Linked DNA regions of Yarrowia lipolytica. The protein of the gene in region 3 interacts with the protein of the main gene of each other region in a pairwise test. Links are inferred from orthologs where the notes say so. Each region holds a gene or a part of one and is shown on either strand. Other genes may lie near its edges.

Region 1 (6,156 bases), on a different chromosome or scaffold from region 3:
ATGTCTGATCTGTCGTCAATTTGGGTTCCTATCATTCTGTGTTCACTTCTTATCCAGAATTGCAGTATTGACATCACTGATCTTCCACAGAATTAGCATCATTACTGAACGGTAAGGAGCAAACCGATGGGCCACCCAGGTCATTTCATCTGCTGTGGGCACCCTCCATTTACCCTTTGTATCTGGCTTTGACTTGGCTGCTTTTCGAGCGCCAGCCTTTTTAGACTTGCCAGGACTGTGGACCCCATTAATAGGGAGCGAAAAGTCAACCTGCTTGATGATCTCAGCAAGATGAGGACGCTCTTTGAGGTAAACAGATACACCTCTCTGGATACCGAGATCACCCAATGTGAAGACATCCATTCGTTTAAGAGCAAAGAGAAGAAACATGTCCGCTGACCAAGGCCCAATGCCCTTGATGGCGACCAGAGCATCGACAACATCGTCATCGGAGGCAGTACTGAGCCAGTCATCGGACAGAGTTCCATCCTTAAAGGCCGTAGATAGACATGTGATGTATTCTGCCTTCCTTCCAGACAAACCTGCGCTTCTTAAGGCCTCGGTTGGGGTGTCGAGGATCTCCTGTGGGCTCGGAAATTTGCCATCTTCGCTTCCTTCGACTGGAAACAGTTTCTTGAACTTCTTGAGAATCGACTCGGCAGCTGCTCCAGATACCTGTTGTCCAATGATGCCCCTTGTAAGATGTTCGAAGCAATTGTTACACTTTCTGTTGGTTCTGGACTCTTGCCGAGTAGCAGCTTCTTTGACAAAAGAAGTGAACTCGGACGAGTGTACGATATCCTCCAGAGAAGGATCGACATCGAGAATGTACTTGAGGCCCTTGGAGAAATCTGATTCGTAAATTTCGTCCCAGTGACTGTTGTCTTTGGTTACAGGATCTAGCTTGGGTATCAGCTTGATAGACTCAGCCAGGGAAATCTTAGGGGCTGGAGCCAAGGGAGTAGTAGGGATCTCAAGCTTGGTTTTCTGTCTTTTGGGAGTACTGGGAGTCACCACAGGCGCTGTTGTTTCAGGTTCAGCCAGACTTCGCTTGGTTCGCGTTCTTGTTGTCGCAACCATCACCAGTTTGTGGATCGAAGGACGGCGGAAGATGTTCATGCGCATGACATCTGTGAAGGAGGGGTTAGGGATTGTGGGTCGTTATTAAAGTGGAGAGAGAAATGTTGCTGTCAGCAAGATGTATTTTCAGTGGAATGAACGACGTTTTGTATGAGAATCAGATACAAATTGCACTCATCTCTCAAATACTTTCTTGTCCTTGAAAGAGTCAAATGTAAACGTGTTTTCAATTGACAATAATACGTACATACTGTACTCTTACCACACCCACTTTAAATGCAATGCCATTGTTGCGATAAAGCTGAGTTTATCGATGAGATATTGTAATACATTGGGTAAACTACTGCACGAGTACGAGTACTGTACATACTGTAGGGATTGTGTAGCATTTTCTCTTCTGGCCAATAGGATGACACGGCCATGATGGCTATCGCTAGAAAAACAAGATTTTGGCTTATATATAGTCAATCACTCACATTTTGAGAACATCCCTCACACTCAGTTTATCCCTCATTTTACTTGACAGCTTAAACCACTCAAGTGGAGACAGATATCAGCCGTATGGCTTAGCTACAGTAGAGACTACAATTAGTTCCAAATTGAATAGAGACCGTGCGAGATTCAAATTTCATCGTGACTAGACCGCATGACTCACACTTTTCATTATCTGTTGCGCATTGACCATAAGTACTTGAACGTCGTACATATCGCCTACAGCATCTATTTCCAACTCATGGTTTGATCATACGTCATACATGTGTGCTGCGTGGATGGTGTTGCGGATAAAAGCCCGCGTAAATTGACCTCCTGGGGGCTGTGTACACTGACCTTTGGGGATACAAAGAGTGGCTAGCAATACTAGTTATAGAAAAGAGCGACTCAATAAAGCTGCTTAAATCCGATCCCAATTGGGTGGTTCATTCGCTTGAAAGAGCTTGAAAGTCCATCCGGAGATAGCAACAGACAAAAATCCGGTTTATGCAGAACAGCCAGACGTACAACAACAAGTACAATGAAAAAGAGGACAGCAAGGACATGTTGTCACAATTCACAGTCTGGCACTTGCTATTTATCTTGTCAGTCACTGCAAATCAAGTAAAGGGTCGTGAGACGGCATCTAGGCTACGTCTGGCTTATTGTAACTACCAGTACGAGGTGTAGTGCTGAGACATAGACAATACAACTCTGTACAGGTAGAGAGCAGCCTTCATGCGGGGTAGGGGAGGCATACAAGAGAAGAATGATACCCCCAACCACAAACAATTGTCCATTACAAACACATTCTCATCCTTACTTTTTTTCATATCACCCCTCTATCACCCATTCGAACCGCTCCACCATCCGATTGCTCCGAGCTTTAAACTCCACATCACAGTGCATGGTTGGTCTATAACTCTCAATTAGCTCACCACTTGTACATAGTCTCTCCACACACACACTCTTACACACCCAATTACCGCAACACACGTTTCAACATGTCTCTCGACCTAGCTACCAACGGCCAGCAGATCAAGGACGTGTACGGCGCCATTGTCAGCAATGACCCCGAGTTCCCCTGGGCAATCTTTGGTTATGCCACCTCTCCCACAGCGTCCTCGGCCACCATCAAGGTCGCAGCCATCCCTGAGTCTGACACTTCCACTCTGGCCGATTTCCTCGACGAGTTCGAGGAGGGCAAGCTGCAATACGGCCTGGTCCGAGTCCCCGACCCTCACTCGAAGCTACCCAAGATTGTCTACGTGGGCTGGTGTCCTGAGGGAGTCCCCGACCCTCGAGCCAAGGGTGTCTTCAACCCCCATCTCCATGCCCTTGGAAATCTCTTCCACGGCTACCACGTCCAGGTGACTGCCCGAGACCGAGACGATCTCACTGAGGATGTGATCCTGGAGCGGCTGGAGCGAGCCTCTGGTGCCAAGTACGGAGCCACCTCATCCAGAAAGCCCGGAATCTCGTCGGCCATCAAGACCAAGCCCACCTACACAACGCAAAAGTCTGGAGCCGATGAGGAGGACTGGGGAGACGCCCCTGCAGTGGAAACCAAGCCCGTCTCCAAGCCCACACCTGTTGAGTCGTCCTACAAGCCCGTCAAGGTTGACCTGGCCGAGATCCGAAAGAAGGGAGGACCCTCGACCTTCACGTCCGAGGGACGAGACGCCGACTCAGATCGAGGCATTGTCGGTGGCTCCTACAAGCCCGTCGGTAAAATTGACATTGCAGCCATCCGAGCCCAGGGCAAGGGACACAAGGAGTCCTTTGAAAACACCCCCATCAAGACGGACCTCGACAAGCCCAAGCCCAAGGCCACTCCTAAGCCTACCTCTAAGCCTGCCCCTGTCGCCGATGTTGAGGATGAGGACAACCAGAACGGGGACGAGGACGGCGAGCCTATGTCTCTCAAAGACAGAATGAAGGCCTTCCAGAAGCCCTCCAAGTCTTCTTCTACTCCCACTCCCTCCAAGAAGCCCCCTACCACCATTGGTGGAGACGACGACGATGAGGAGGATGAGACCCCCAAGTCTGTTAAGGACCGACTCAACGCTTTCTCCGGGTCTGGACGGCTCACCGAGATGCCCAAGCCCAAGATCGACAAATCTGCTATCCAGTCTCGATTCACACCCGCTGCCTCTCGAGGAACCAAGCCTCTGGCCCCCGCCGGTGATCTGTCGTCTCAGTATGGTCTCAAGACCTCAATTGTGTCTGGTGGATCCCGAGATTTTGCCTCTGAGAACGGTAAGACTCCCGGTCAGATCTGGGCTGAAAAGCATGGAAAGACTCCCCAGCCTGACGTGGCCGTGCCTTCGTCTACCTCCAACGTCTCTTCTGCATCCGACAAGTTCTCCAAGCTGTCTGTGAACGACGATGATGAGGAGGACAAGAAGACTCCTGCTTCTTTCGGTGGTGATGACGACGAAGATGACGAGCCCCACGCATCGGTTTCCGCTCTTCGAGGTGCCTTCAATAAGCCGGCCGTGCATGACGAGCCCAAGAAGTCCACCCCCGCCCCTGCTTCTCGAACCATTCCTCCTCCCCCTCCTTCCGCCTCTCGAGTAAACGACGACGACGATGATGAGGACGAGGACGATGCTCCCGCTGTCTCTGTCTCTGCTCTCCGAGGCGCCTTCAACAAGCCCGCTGCTGCCGACGAAGATGATGCTCCCCCTCCTCCTGCTCGAACAGTGCCCCCGCCTCCTCCCTCTGCATCTCGACCCCCCGCTGATGAGGATGACGACGATGAGGACGAGCACAACAGCTTCTCCAAGGGCGCCTCTGCTCTTCAGGCCGCCTTCTCTGCTGGTGCTGGTACCGGAGGACCTCCTCCTCCTCCTGCTCGAGGAGCTGCCAAAGATGAGGAAGAAGATGATGCTCCTCCCCCCATGCCTGCTCGACACGCCCCTCCTCCCGCCAACGACGATGATGCCCCCCCTCCTATGCCTGCTCGACATGTTGCTAACGACGCTCCTCCTCCTCCCATGCCATCTCGACCTGCTGCCGATGAGCCTCCTGCTCCCGCCCTGCCTTCTCGAGGCGGTGCTGCTGCTGCCACTCCTGCTGCTGTTGTCTCCAGCAAGCCCTCTGCCACCGTGGAGTACGATTACACTAAGGATGAGGAGGGTGAGATCGATCTCGTGGAGGACGAGATCGTCACCGACATTGAGTTCCTGGACGAGAACTGGTGGAGCGGAACCAACTCCAAGGGTGAGTCCGGTCTGTTCCCCTCCAACTATGTCAGGCTTAAGGATGGTGCTGTGCCCACCATTCCCGATCCTGCCGCGGGCTGCCGGGCGCTGCTGCCGGCGCTGCTGCCGGAGCTGGCACTGGCCCCTCTGCCATCGCCCTGTACGACTACGACGCTGCTGAGGACAATGAACTGAGCTTCGCGGCGGACGATATCATCACAGATATTGAATTCATCGACGAGGACTGGTGGACCGGATCGCTCAACGGCAAGCGAAACCTCTTCCCTTCCAACTTTGTTGAGCTCCAGGATTAGCCTAATCGTTCTATGATGTATAAATAATTATGACTTGATGGATTGAACTGATTGTAGATTACTGTGTGAATAGTCGTAGTGCTGTGTTTTGTAAACTTCTATTATAAATTACCACGTCATACTGTGTGTCTATAAGTTAGCATGCCCGTCTGGCTTCCGCGAGCAACAAGATTGTTGTGTTCAAATCTTGGATCTAATAATCTCGCTGAAGAGACGCAGGGTAGCTGCACCCTGTCCCTGTTGAGTAAGCCCTCGTCGAGCAACAATGGCAGCATGAGAATGGATCACGGTAATGTACACGGCGTACTTTTCCCAGCCTAGCTTGTCCATGTTCTCAATCATGCTGAGTACGTCCTCGGAGAAAGGCGCGTTGTTCGCCCAGTTGGCCAGCAATCCTCGGTCTCCTGTGTGTCTAGCCGCCTCCATAGCTTCACCCAGACCGACCACCTTGGTTTCCGACAAAGCAGGCGTGTCGGTGTTGTTAAGATCATCACCTAGAATGACGTCTTCGACGGCAGCTTCAGTGATTCCAGCAGCCATGACATCAGCCTCTTCCTCAACCTTGGACGCGTCCGTTTTAGAAACGGGGGAGGATTGTTTGTCGGTGTTCTCAGTCTTCTCCCCCTTACCGCCAACCTTCCTCTCGTCACCCTCATTCAACCACTCCTCGTCAAAAGTCTCCATCTTGATACTTTCGAGAATCTCACCCATGAGTGCCTTGTCTCCTTCTCTCAGAAACTTGCTGACTCGGTGATTTGAGTTGTTGGTGAAGAACATGGACGCAATTAACACAGCTGTGATAGCTAGGGGACCAACAGTAGCCGCAAAACTCCAGAAGATAAGCTTCTGGCGAATGTGTTCGTGGTAGACGGGGAAAGGAAGGGACCGTTTGGTGGTTCGTTTGAAGTCAATGATTCGAGGCGAGTGGCTCCAGCCGTAGCTGTCCACCACGGGTTCTTGCAGCTTGACTTCGTGGAACTTGAGATCGAGCCATCGTAGGTTAGCAAACGGATTAGCAGCCGTGATAAACGCCGTTGGGAAGTGCACCGTTCGGTCGTTTCGGCAATTGGCCAGCAGCACCCGGT
Region 2 (6,361 bases), on a different chromosome or scaffold from region 3:
CAATCACTAGTCCCCAAACAGCATCTAACAGTCTCACTGGCGACAAAGAAAAGGCTCATTACATCTCACATGAGTGTCTTGACAACTGTGAATGCTACGAGAATGCCAACAAGTTTGTCTCGGAGACTCCATCACCGGCAAATCCCCGTCTTCCTTGGCTTTCAACCCTTCTGCCTCTCTGGGTGTTCCTGGCAATGGCAATTGGCATCATTATCGGCAAATTTGTGCCCTCGGCGGGTCCCAATTTGAACAGTACAACTTTCACAGGAGTCTCAGTGCCCATTTTCATTGGACTCTTGCTCACAATGTATCCCATTCTGTGCAAAGTGGAGTTTGAAGATCTTCCCAAGGCTCTCAAAACCCGGGCCATGTGGAAGCAACTGCTTATTTCCTTCATCATCAACTGGATCGTGTCTCCTGCTCTCATGTTTGGTCTCTCATGGGCCTTCTTGCCAGATAAGCCTGAACTCAGAGAAGGTCTCATGATTGTGGGCATTGCCCGATGTATTGCCATGGTTCTAATTTGGAACGAGTTGGCTTTTGGTGACAGCTTCTACTGCGCCGTGCTGGTCTCTTTCAACACCATTCTGCAGATCATTCTCTTCCCTCCTCTTGCATACTTTGTCGTCAACTACGTATCTCAAAACCACAACCATGACCCCCATGTCGGCCATCTGGACTACGGTTCTGTGACCAAATACGTAGCCATCTTCATGGCAATTCCTCTGGCCGCAGCTCTTATTACCCGGTTCTTGTTCAAGAAGATCCCCAACTGGAGCAAACACGAGCACAAGTTCATCCAGTGGATCTCTCCCCTGTCTCTCATCGCTCTACTCTACACCATCATTGTCCTTTTTGCATCTCAGGGAGCCAGGGTGGTGGACCAGATCATCTCTGTGCTACGAGTCTCGGCCCCTCTGGTCGTCTACTTCCTCATCACCTTCACCGGAACCATGCTCTACTGTCTGAAGGTCGGCAAGGTCAACTATGCCATCTCGGTGACCCAGAGCTTTACAGCCGCCAGCAACAACTTTGAGCTGGCCATCGCCATTGCAGCTTCTCTCTTTGGAACCCAGGGTGGCCAGGCTCTAGCCACAACCGTCGGTCCCCTCATCGAGGTGCCCGTTCTGCTGGCTCTCGTCTACATTGCACGATGGTTGAGAGCTCGATGGGTCAAAAACAACCCCAAGGCCCAATCCGTCTGACCGATATATAACATAGACACGATATAGAATAGACTGACTAGTTAAATTCGTTTCGATCATATTGGGTTATGTGCGAGTGGACCTCTGATGGACACGAGGGCACTGTCAACATTAAATGACGATTTAAGAAATCTGCGACTTGTCCGGTGGATGGAGTATCATCAGATTACAATATTCCTCACCTCCAAGTTCTGCAATATTTCCTATGGAGTCGTGCAGAGAAGGATTCTCACTTCGTTAAGTAAAATTCAACTATTGAAGTGTTATTCAGTTAACCCTTTACTTGACGCTATGCTCCCCCCAAAAAGGTGCAGCCCAAGTAACCTTGTTTCTATGGTGAGCAATATAGTTGAGCAAGTTACTTGCATCAGACAATTATTCCACTTCGTCTGCCCGGTACACGTCCCACAATCGCCCTCGCCGGTCCATAATTGCTGCAAAAACCACATCTAATACGCCACAAGCTTCTCGTCATTCCGAACTCAGACCATTCTCGGAGAAGATTAGCTCTTAAATCCGATTGGGGTTACCCGAAGAGGTTTGATGTAGTGACGACCAGGTCCGTAGCGACACGTGCGAATGCCTCTCAATCTTTCTTCCACGGTTTATTGGTAATTTCAACGATTAACGCCCTTTTTTCCCCGAATTTCTGCGATTTTTTCCGCGGATTTTTCATCTTCGACGATCAGTACATAGACCGGAAATAAATCGCGCTTATTGACGAGCAGAAGAAAGACGATTGAGACGGATATTGGACATTTTTTGGCCATTAAAAGCCCCGAAAACACACAAAAAACCCCAAGCACCACCCTCCTCCATTATCTTACCCCTCCAATAGTACTAAAAGAACGAACTAAGGGGCCTTTATTTCCTCGAGTTCCTTATTTATGGAGACCATACTAAAGTTAGCTTACGCTGTCATATTTTCGACAGTGTTCAGAGCGACTGAAACATGCTAGAATAGAGATATAAAGAAGCAGAAAAGTGCGTTTTTCACAGAAAGACTAGTTAATGATATCTACAAGCCTCTATGATCGCCAGATACCCTGCACCGTCCTCTTACAACTCCATCCCCATATCTAGTGGCAATACGTCTCAGACGCATGAGCATAAACCTACTCTGGAGTAGCAGTACTCATACATACGTACGTAGCTACAGTAAACTTGTACCACTCCATCCACCTTCAACTACACAGAACACAGACCTGTTCAACACTACGTCTGCGCTTGTGGTCCGGCCGAATTACGTCACGTGATGCTTTTCATTCTCTGTGTCTACCTTTTTGGAGGCCTCACTTTTCTGCCCGGCTTGATATACCTTTTGTGGAGGTATGCTGGAGACATTGATGGTGATACAACCCCCGATGGTGACCCGGATTTCGAGGCGGAGGAGAAGTACGAAACCGAACCGCTAATTCCTACCAATGTGACCGAGAAACCCGTCTTCTCGGGCTGGGTAACCGTTACTAAGGAGTACTTTGAGTACCCTTCAGGCGACGTGCCAGACAAGAAGGACAATCCCTCAGCCTACACATCGCTCTACAAGCTGGCCAATGGAAACGGCGACGCCAGCAACACAAACATAAACGACAGCGCCTCAAAGGACGCAAATCCGGCAATCCAGGCAGCCAACACAGCCACCGCCAACACAACCACCACAAAACCAAAGCCAGTCAAGTCTCGATACTATGCTGAGCTCAAGCTCGGCAACCTGTTTCTGTACAAGTCCGAGGAGCGCGATCTGCAACACGCCATTGTTCTCAACAAGTACAAGGTCCAGTTGTATCCAGAGCTGCCCGACGCCAACTTGCTGGCCAAGCGGGTGGCGGTCTGTCTGACACACATCAAAAAGGATCTCACATACTACATCTTTCTGGAAAACTGCTCGCTCAAGGAAGATCTTTACTTCCGAATCGTCGAGCTCACGTGCCAGAACTCGCCGAAGGGCAAGGCTCTCATGTTTGACCATCACGACATGATTAACATTATTCAAAAATTGCACTCCTCGGACGAAAACTTGCAGACGGCCTGGTTCAATGCCATCACTGCCCGAATGTTCATGGCGGCATACCAGACAGATGCGTTCCGGGGTTATTTCGAAGAAAAAATAGTCAAGAAGCTCGCTCGAGTAAAAAGACCAGCATTCTTGAGTGAGATCCAAGTCACTAAGATCAACGTGGGTACCTCTATTCCTTTCCTAACGACACCTAAACTTAGAGAGCTCAAGCCCGACGGAACACTTGTTGTGGCTGCTCATCTGTCGTACAACGGAGGATATACAATTGAGATTTCAACCAAGGCCACCTTCAACTTTGGCCAGAAGCTCATCAACATCAAGCCTCGACCTGTGACACTGGTGCTTCGTCTGACTCTTTCGAAGATGGAGGGCATTGTTGTATTCCAGGTCAAGCCTCCTCCTTCCACTCGAATCTGGTGGGGCTTTGAGTCCATGCCTGAGATGAGTCTCAAGGTCGAGCCTGTCGTTTCTGCGCGACAAATCACCTACTCCATGGTCACCAACGTAATTGAGTCTAAGATCCGCGAGATTGTCAAGGAAAGCATTGTTTTGCCGTTCACAGAAGACATCAACTTCTTCCCTTCGCAACCTGGCAATCCTTATAGAGGAGGACTTTGGGAAGATCATCTGGGCAAGGAGGAGGAAATGGAGAACAAGGAGGAGGACCTGACAGATGAGAAGATCGGTGATCATGATGACGAATCTCTTCTGTCTGAAACTCCTCCCCCTTCCATCCATGCTGGAATGCGACATAGAACGTTCCGAGCGTCCCCTGAAGATGATGAAGCAGTAAGCGATAGTGCAGCGACCACCTCTGCCATTGGAACGACTCTTGCTTCTGCTGCTGCCTCTACATCGTCTCTGGCTCATCCCACAACTTCTGACAATGATTCCATCAAGTCTAACAACACCGCCACCACCAACTTCATGGGCACCATGAAGAAGTGGGGCGCTTGGTACACAGAGAAGAAGGCCGAGGCTACCAAAAAGGCCAAGCCTGCTGGAGGTTTTGCGTCTGTCAACAGATCAGCGACCGCGCCCAATCTCACAGCCGACGCCACAGTCTCTCTTTCTCCTGCTGCTGCCATCACCCACAGAAAGCCTTCTGAGAAGAAGGCTCCCCAACCTCATCATTTCCCTCCTGAAATGATTGATCTCATCAACGAGCAAGAACGCAAGAGAAAGCTGTCCAACCCTGACCAACCAATCGGCATGGAAATGCCGGCATCGCCTACTTTGCCTGGATCCCCTCCTGCCCTGCCTCCCAGATCAAACACTGCCTCTGTCGATACTGACAAGAACCAATTTGTGAAACGCAAGCCTGTTCGAGCTGCCACTTCTGTGTCTCCCACCCTGCAGAGCAGTCCCACCATGCCTGTTGCTGTCCCGACCCGTGAGTCCGGCGTGTCGCCCAAGCTGTCACGTGACCCCATTGGTCTTGGTGTGTCACGTGAGTCCGGCTTGTCGCCCTCTTTCGGCGCGTCGCCCAATCTGGCTCCCTCCCCGAAGATTGGCTCTTCGCGTGAGTCTGGAGTAGCTCCCAAGATGAGCTCGTCGCATGACTCCCCCCTCGCTCGTGAGTCCGGCGTTGCTCCCAAGACGTCACGCGATGCACACAAGCGGAGTACGTCTCACGACTCTGCTCAGTCGGCTGCCAAACTAGCTACTTCGGTATCTCGAGACTCTCTGTCTTCGATGAGTTCATTTCGAGACGAGAACAAAGTGTCTGTCGTCTCTCTCCCTGTGGAAGAAGGATCGCCTCCCAAGGAAGCGCTTGTATTCCATTCTCACAAGGCCTCGCCTCTATCTGCTGTCCAAACTCCTCCCGCATCAGATCCTCCTGTGGTTAGTAAGGTGCCCCGGAAGCCCGTAGGTGCTGATAAGAAGGATGTGAATGAGAGCAATGAAGTCAAGGCTGTCAAGGAGGTGAAGGGTGTCACTGATCCCAAGCCTGTAAAGGCGGCCAAGGAAACTGCCAAGGAGATTGCTAAGGAGGTCGCACCTACCAAGGAGGTTATTAGAAAGCCTGTTGGGGATGCACCCAATGCCAATGTTGCCAAAGGGCCCGAAGAAGAGACATTTCCCTTGGAGCTATGATAATAAACGATAGGGACAGGAACGGTGATACGCAGGTGCATGCATTTATATAAGTTATTATATCTGGTTACATTAGTTCCTGGGTTAAATAGTGAACAAGTCCGAGTCTCTCTGGTAGCCCATGATGGTGTTGGCTAGGCAAGACTTCGAGAAGGTGTAGATTCTCACCTCTTCATAAGATACCCCTATCAAGGTGATGAGTGTTTTTCGTGCATGTCACCTACATCCATATAAAACTTGTTCTTGAGGTCTATCAAGCGTTGACAGAACCCTTCTGGTTGTACAACGCTGCATACTGGCCAAATTCTTCATGTTGGGCGACCTTCATTGAGGTGCCAAACCCACATATTCGTACCCCATACAGTCGTGTCTGTGGCCCAAATGTTTCCATCGCAGCACAGTAGCGCTCCGTCTCTTTTCCAGACCTGGTCCATAGGAGGAGTTTTTTGGCGAACTTTCCGCACTGTATAGAACTTGGTTCCGTAAAATGAAACAAAACGACCGAGCTATAGATGTACGAACATCTCCATTAGTTAAATCCACCTGATGTCACTTCATTAAAAAGGGCTTATATGAACTGAAGTCCTTACTAAGGTACGAAGAAGCAGTCACACACGTTGTCCTGGCTGGTGCAGTTCGACCACCACTCACTCGGCGGGTCTAAACTCAGCTCGTACCACATGAGATACAGATAGCGTGCCATAAGAAGTAATAGAGGGAAGAGATCAGAGTTTTATTTACGGTGGAGTTAGCGGGGTATTTCTACTGCTGTAGAAGCGGAGGTGGTGCTCTAAGCTCTGGAGATCTAGAAAATGCCCATATGTAGTCAATTGAAGTTGGTGATGATAACATGGGCTTTCATAGGATTGACTCGCAGTCGACCAGCTAGCCATTAGTCCGTGCGAAGTGTTTCCCTCACATCTATCTGACAATTACCCTTCAATATCTCGTATACAAGCCACACGAACCTACGTAAAGCCACAGGGGAGGCTATATAGAGATCAGTGGAAGACGTCCAGCTTCGGGACTCAGCCAAAAAACA
Region 3 (4,772 bases):
GCTGACCCAACACACACTCGGGTCGTATTCCTCCATTTGAGCCCTTGTATCACCTCTGTCAATCCTCGTGTCAATCTCTTGGTTCACCTGTCTCAAAATGTTTCTATTTATACCCCTAATTGTGATGATCTATGAATATGTCTCACGCTTGTTCCGAAGCGAGCGAAGCAGTTATGAAGCGCTAAAAAAAGCAACGCCGACTCGAGACTGTTGGAGACGGAAAGACGACGCATTAAGACAGTTAATTAAAGCGGCTGCGCTGCTCCACCGGCTGCACAAGGGGCTGAGAGACACGGGGGTCGGTGGCAGCTGAGCAGCAATCTCGGTGAAACATGACCCGATGATGTAGAACTTGTCGAAGCAGTGGGGATCGGTGTATTCGAAGAAAGACGGTTACCTTTCGTGAACATCATGAACGTACTTGTAGCGGAGCCTCAGACGTGCCATGGGGTGTTTTAGAGTATTTTAACTAATTATTCCGATTTTTTCCACAATCAAAATAAATCAGATAAATTGAAAAAAAATGGGAAAAAAATGAAAGAAAAAAAAACCCAAGATTGACAGAAAAACTGGACTGCTCAATCCATCACCTCAAACTCTTGTCCATGCTCCAACCCCACATCAAACCCACTCGTTCCACCAACCCAACGATCTTCTACGGAGGTGCATTATCTCTGCATGAGTGATGCGACTACATTCGTCCATCGTCAGATATCGTGGACACCGCCAGCAACTCCATAGTCACCTGGCAAGTCCCGAAAAGACATCCCTTGTCATTAATTTGTCTTGTCTTTTTGTTAGAAGGCATTATTTGTTACATGTACCTACACTATGTGCTCCAGTATGTAATTCTTGGAAAGGAGGGCAACTGGATGAGCATCCAGAAGAGTATACAAGTATATACGACCCGTGGACTCGCACAGACTTCATCATATCATTCGAGCAGTTCCATTTCTCGTTAAAATAGTCCCATACTTCCTAACATATCAACTACTTGTAGAATGGACACACCTTGAATCGACTTTCAATGTCATCATGTCTCAAGTGTGTTCTTGCTCGTGGTATCAGATCATTCTGTCATCTTCCTTGAGTCTGAAGCTGTTAGGGACATATCCATTCACTCTAGACACATACTTGTTCTAGAGCTCCATATCCTACCAACTCCTACACTACCAAAACCAATGCATACATATCTCATTACTATTAAATGCCCGTTCAAGTGCAGTTCCGTGATGGCGGTGAAATCATAATTCAGGCTCACCACCAAGGCCAGATCACAAACAACCTGGCTTCGCTTCGCTCGCTGCGGTTACGCATTCAACTGAACATAATTTCCAGGAAACACTCCCTGGTGTCCCCCGACAATACCCGTCCACCAACCGTTGGTGTCAGCGGTTCGCTGAACAATGGTGATGACCTGTCCGGCGGAAAACGACAGGTCGCCAGCAGCCTGCGCCTCGTAGTCGTACAGGGCGGTGCAGGTTTCAGCTGCGGGAGCGGCGGCTGCAGGAGCCCCGGGAGGCGTGTACACGGCCTTTTCGTTGGGGTAGCCGGTGGCGGTGTACGCGGCGGGAGCGGCAGCGGCAGCTGCAGCAGGGTCGGCGGCCTCCTCGCCTCCATAAGCGGGCGGCGCAGCACCGGCGACGGGGGCAGCTCCTGCAGCGGCCTCCTTATCCTTGTCCTTTGCAAACCGTCGCTTTGTCATTTCGAGCTTGGCACGGGCGTGTCCGACTCGGAACTGGGTGATGGAGAGCTGTTCAGTTCGCTCGGCAACGTCGCCCCGCTTGGCAGCAAAGGCGCCCTCGATGTCCTCGTTGGTGAGGTCAAAGTAGGGAATCTTCATTTCCTCCATGCGGATGTAGAGGGTGTAGAAGACGTTGAGCTGCATGTAGTAGAAGGACTGGAAGAGAGGAGCGATGAACTGGGCCTCCAGCTCAAACAGCTGCGGCAGCTCCTCCTTGAGCATGTCGTTGTAGTAGTCGTACTCCTGCTGGGCGATTTCGACGGCTGACTCGGCCGAGTACATCTTCTTCTCGTCGTTGACGCTTCGTTCCTTCTTATCCTGGTACTTTTTCAGCGAGTTGTTGTGTCGGTCGAGATCCAGCTGTTTGTGGGCACGCTTTGTGGCCATCTTTCGAATCGAGTTGATCACCTCCAGCAGCTCGTTGGCGGGGCCAATGATTCGCGAATCGATCATCTCCAGCTCGGGCTTGAGCGTTGCCTGCAGATCGTTGACCACCTCACGGTACTGCTCGCATGCACTGATACCTTCGGGGTTGCCCTCGGGAATGGCTCCGTTGGGGTCCGACAGCCGTCCAGAAATGGGCTTGTAGATCTCCTCAATCGCCTTGGAGAACTGGATCTGGTGCTCCAGCATGCCGTTGATCGCGTCAAAGTACTTTTTCGACTCCTCGTGCAGCTTCTTGGTCTCCTTCTCGAGCTCCTTGAACCGCCTCTCGGCGTCAATGTAGACCAGATCCTTGGTCTGCTCCCCAATATTGAACTTGGCCTTGAACGACTGAGGCGCTCGGGCGATGCCCTTGGTGATTCCTTTCATAGACATGGCGCAAACAGGTCACCACACGTGGCGTGGAGTGGGTGGGATAATGTAGTGTGTGTTGCTACTCACTGTGTTTAGACCAGCTTGCGTGACGCACCAACCTGTGCTCCAAATGTCTCAGCCGGGTAACCTTTGCGGAGGTGGTGAACCGGCACCGGTGGCAACAAAGCACACACAAAACGGCCCAAAACAAAGACGACAGATATCGTTGCTGTCGTCGCACGCGCCGCTTTTTTTTTTTGCTATTTTTTCTCCACCCAAAAAAAGCCCGCTATCGTCCTGCTAATGCTCTTAGTGTCGTGCTAGTGGTGGTGATGTACAGTATGTATGGTAAGATGACAGTTGGGTATCGTGCGTGCAAGTCGTATTGCGTCACAAGAGGAGACGAAACACCAAGCAGTGGTATCACGTGACGCCTTCCCGTCTGGGATATAAGTCGTCCAAATGCCGACTTTGAGTAGCCGCACGACTTGTATCACTCTCCGTCTATAGATACCGCTAGCTATCCGCTCCAGCATCATACTCCACCAGATAACAGCTTAATCAAACTCTGCAATTATACGTGAGACAGTGATGCCGCATGTAAGAATGAGTGCATGGCACGATGGCTGAGCGGAGCAAAGTGGGCCGGGTTTTTCGGCTTTTCGGCGACTAAAAAAGCCGGTGTTGCTGGTCCTGGTCATCAAGCACCGTTGACGGCTCCAACAATCGCCCTTGGTTGCCCCCAAGACTCCAACGGGGGACCATCAGGGCCCCACTTATGCACCGCATCACCTTGTCTTAAACAAGACATGTGCCACAATCGCATCGGAATGAAGCGACGAGTAATGGTCTGAGAAGGAAAATGAAAATACCGAAAAGATGGATACATTCTGCTCGTTATTTTCCTCAATTTTCTCCATTTTTTCCTATTTTTCCCCGTCTTTCCACACGCGTTTTTCAGTCCCCATCGCTTATCATTGACATTCTCAGCCCCATCCTAAACACTAATCTTCCGCCCTATTGGTCTTGGCAACGGACAAGAGATACAAGTGTAGGGTGGATATTTGCTTCGTTTTTTGCAAGTGGTTTCGTGGCCGGTTTTGGGTGGTTTTGTGGGCGTTTGTGGCGTTTGTGGCGTTTGTGGGTTGTTGTGTTTTTTTTTTTTTTTTTTTTTTTTTTTTTTTTTTTTTTTTTTTTTTTTTTTTTTTTAATCTATTTTCATTTATTTTATGTTCATTTATTTAATTTTATTTGTCAGTTTTTTCTTCAATGTTTTATGGTCTTCATCGATTTTGCACACTACTCCGCACATTCTTACAATTCAACCAATCAGACACGTCCATACTGATACTGAGCTCATGTCGACGCGTCCGACACCAAACACCGCCCCCAAAAACTCACCAAAACCCCCAGTATGTCTCGCAAAACTTTCCCTTAACTAATACCTCAATTATGGTTCCACTAGCACCAATTATCGAGACATATATGGAGGGATGTTTCCGAAACGACCATTTTTGAGATAACGTGACCGTAAGGAGTTTGGAGAATATCCGTTAGTTTTTGCCGAATTTTCTCATACTAATATTGTATTTATGTGGTTTTTATTGATTTATTGGGTATTTTGTTTTTTATTGAACCGCTCTCAAACATACACTGTAATTAGAAGCAGCACAAAATACACAGAAATCATCATACAGAACTCCAAGACTCCCACAAATCCCAGAAAATCTCAAAAAATAACTATACACCAGAAACAGCCGGAAACCACCTCCGAAACAACCACAAAACCAACCCGAAACCCCGACACTACCTGCTTCTACCCTAACCCCAGTGATACATATGCAAAGTATGGTGGGGTGGGATGCATTTGGATCATCATCATGGGAGTCAGCGATGGAGGTGGTACAAGTACTGCGAAAGATGACCTGTTGAGCGGCAATGATGTATACGATGGTTACGATCGATACGACAACCTATACGACGAACAATTCGACTCCCAATACGACAATGCCAACGATGATATACCTATGGACGTGTTAATCCCTCTACTCATCTCTCTATGGGGGCTTATGTCTTTGTGTCTGTGTATCTACACACACAAGTTCATCTGGCGGTCTCCTGCCGTGTCCAAGTTGTGCATGTATGTGGTTTTGTGTTCGCTGGTCATGTTTTTTGCCACCATCATTGCTTTCAAGCCTGCCCATGAAAACGACGGCTGGTACTATGGCCC

The links.
Region 1: the proteins of YALI1_D16981g (region 3) and YALI1_B18645g interact in binary tests that used the Saccharomyces cerevisiae proteins (3 or more experiments, as listed by UniProt). The link is inferred for Yarrowia lipolytica from reciprocal best matches to the Saccharomyces cerevisiae genes RVS167 and ABP1.
Region 2: the proteins of YALI1_D16981g (region 3) and YALI1_C10016g interact in binary tests that used the Saccharomyces cerevisiae proteins (3 or more experiments, as listed by UniProt). The link is inferred for Yarrowia lipolytica from reciprocal best matches to the Saccharomyces cerevisiae genes RVS167 and NVJ2.

What each region holds. Positions count from the first base shown.
Region 1 is NC_090771.1:1,862,040-1,868,195, forward strand, and holds YALI1_B18645g (uncharacterized protein), read left to right. Parts: upstream 1-2,555; coding exon 2,556-4,952; downstream 4,953-6,156. Other genes in the region: YALI1_B18631g (uncharacterized protein), read right to left, coding at 43-1,125; YALI1_B18687g (uncharacterized protein), read right to left, coding at 5,252-6,156. UniProt on the Saccharomyces cerevisiae protein: Regulates ARP2/3 complex-mediated actin assembly. Recruits ARP2/3 complex to sides of preexisting actin filaments, which may promote nucleation or stabilization of filament branches. Binds to actin filaments, but not actin monomers.
Region 2 is NC_090772.1:997,761-1,004,121, reverse strand, and holds YALI1_C10016g (uncharacterized protein), read left to right. Parts: upstream 1-2,460; coding exon 2,461-5,319; downstream 5,320-6,361. Other genes in the region: YALI1_C10041g (uncharacterized protein), read left to right, coding at 1-1,205. UniProt on the Saccharomyces cerevisiae protein: During endoplasmic reticulum (ER) stress or when cellular ceramide levels increase, induces contacts between the ER and medial-Golgi complex to facilitate non-vesicular transport of ceramides from the ER to the Golgi complex where they are converted to complex sphingolipids, preventing toxic ceramide accumulation.
Region 3 is NC_090773.1:1,695,609-1,700,380, forward strand, and holds YALI1_D16981g (uncharacterized protein), read right to left. Parts: upstream 2,564-4,772; coding exon 1,310-2,563; downstream 1-1,309. Other genes in the region: YALI1_D16959g (uncharacterized protein), read right to left, coding at 172-351, 409-447; YALI1_D16990g (uncharacterized protein), read left to right, coding at 3,405-3,890; YALI1_D16997g (uncharacterized protein), read left to right, coding at 4,135-4,772. UniProt on the Saccharomyces cerevisiae protein: Component of a cytoskeletal structure that is required for the formation of endocytic vesicles at the plasma membrane level.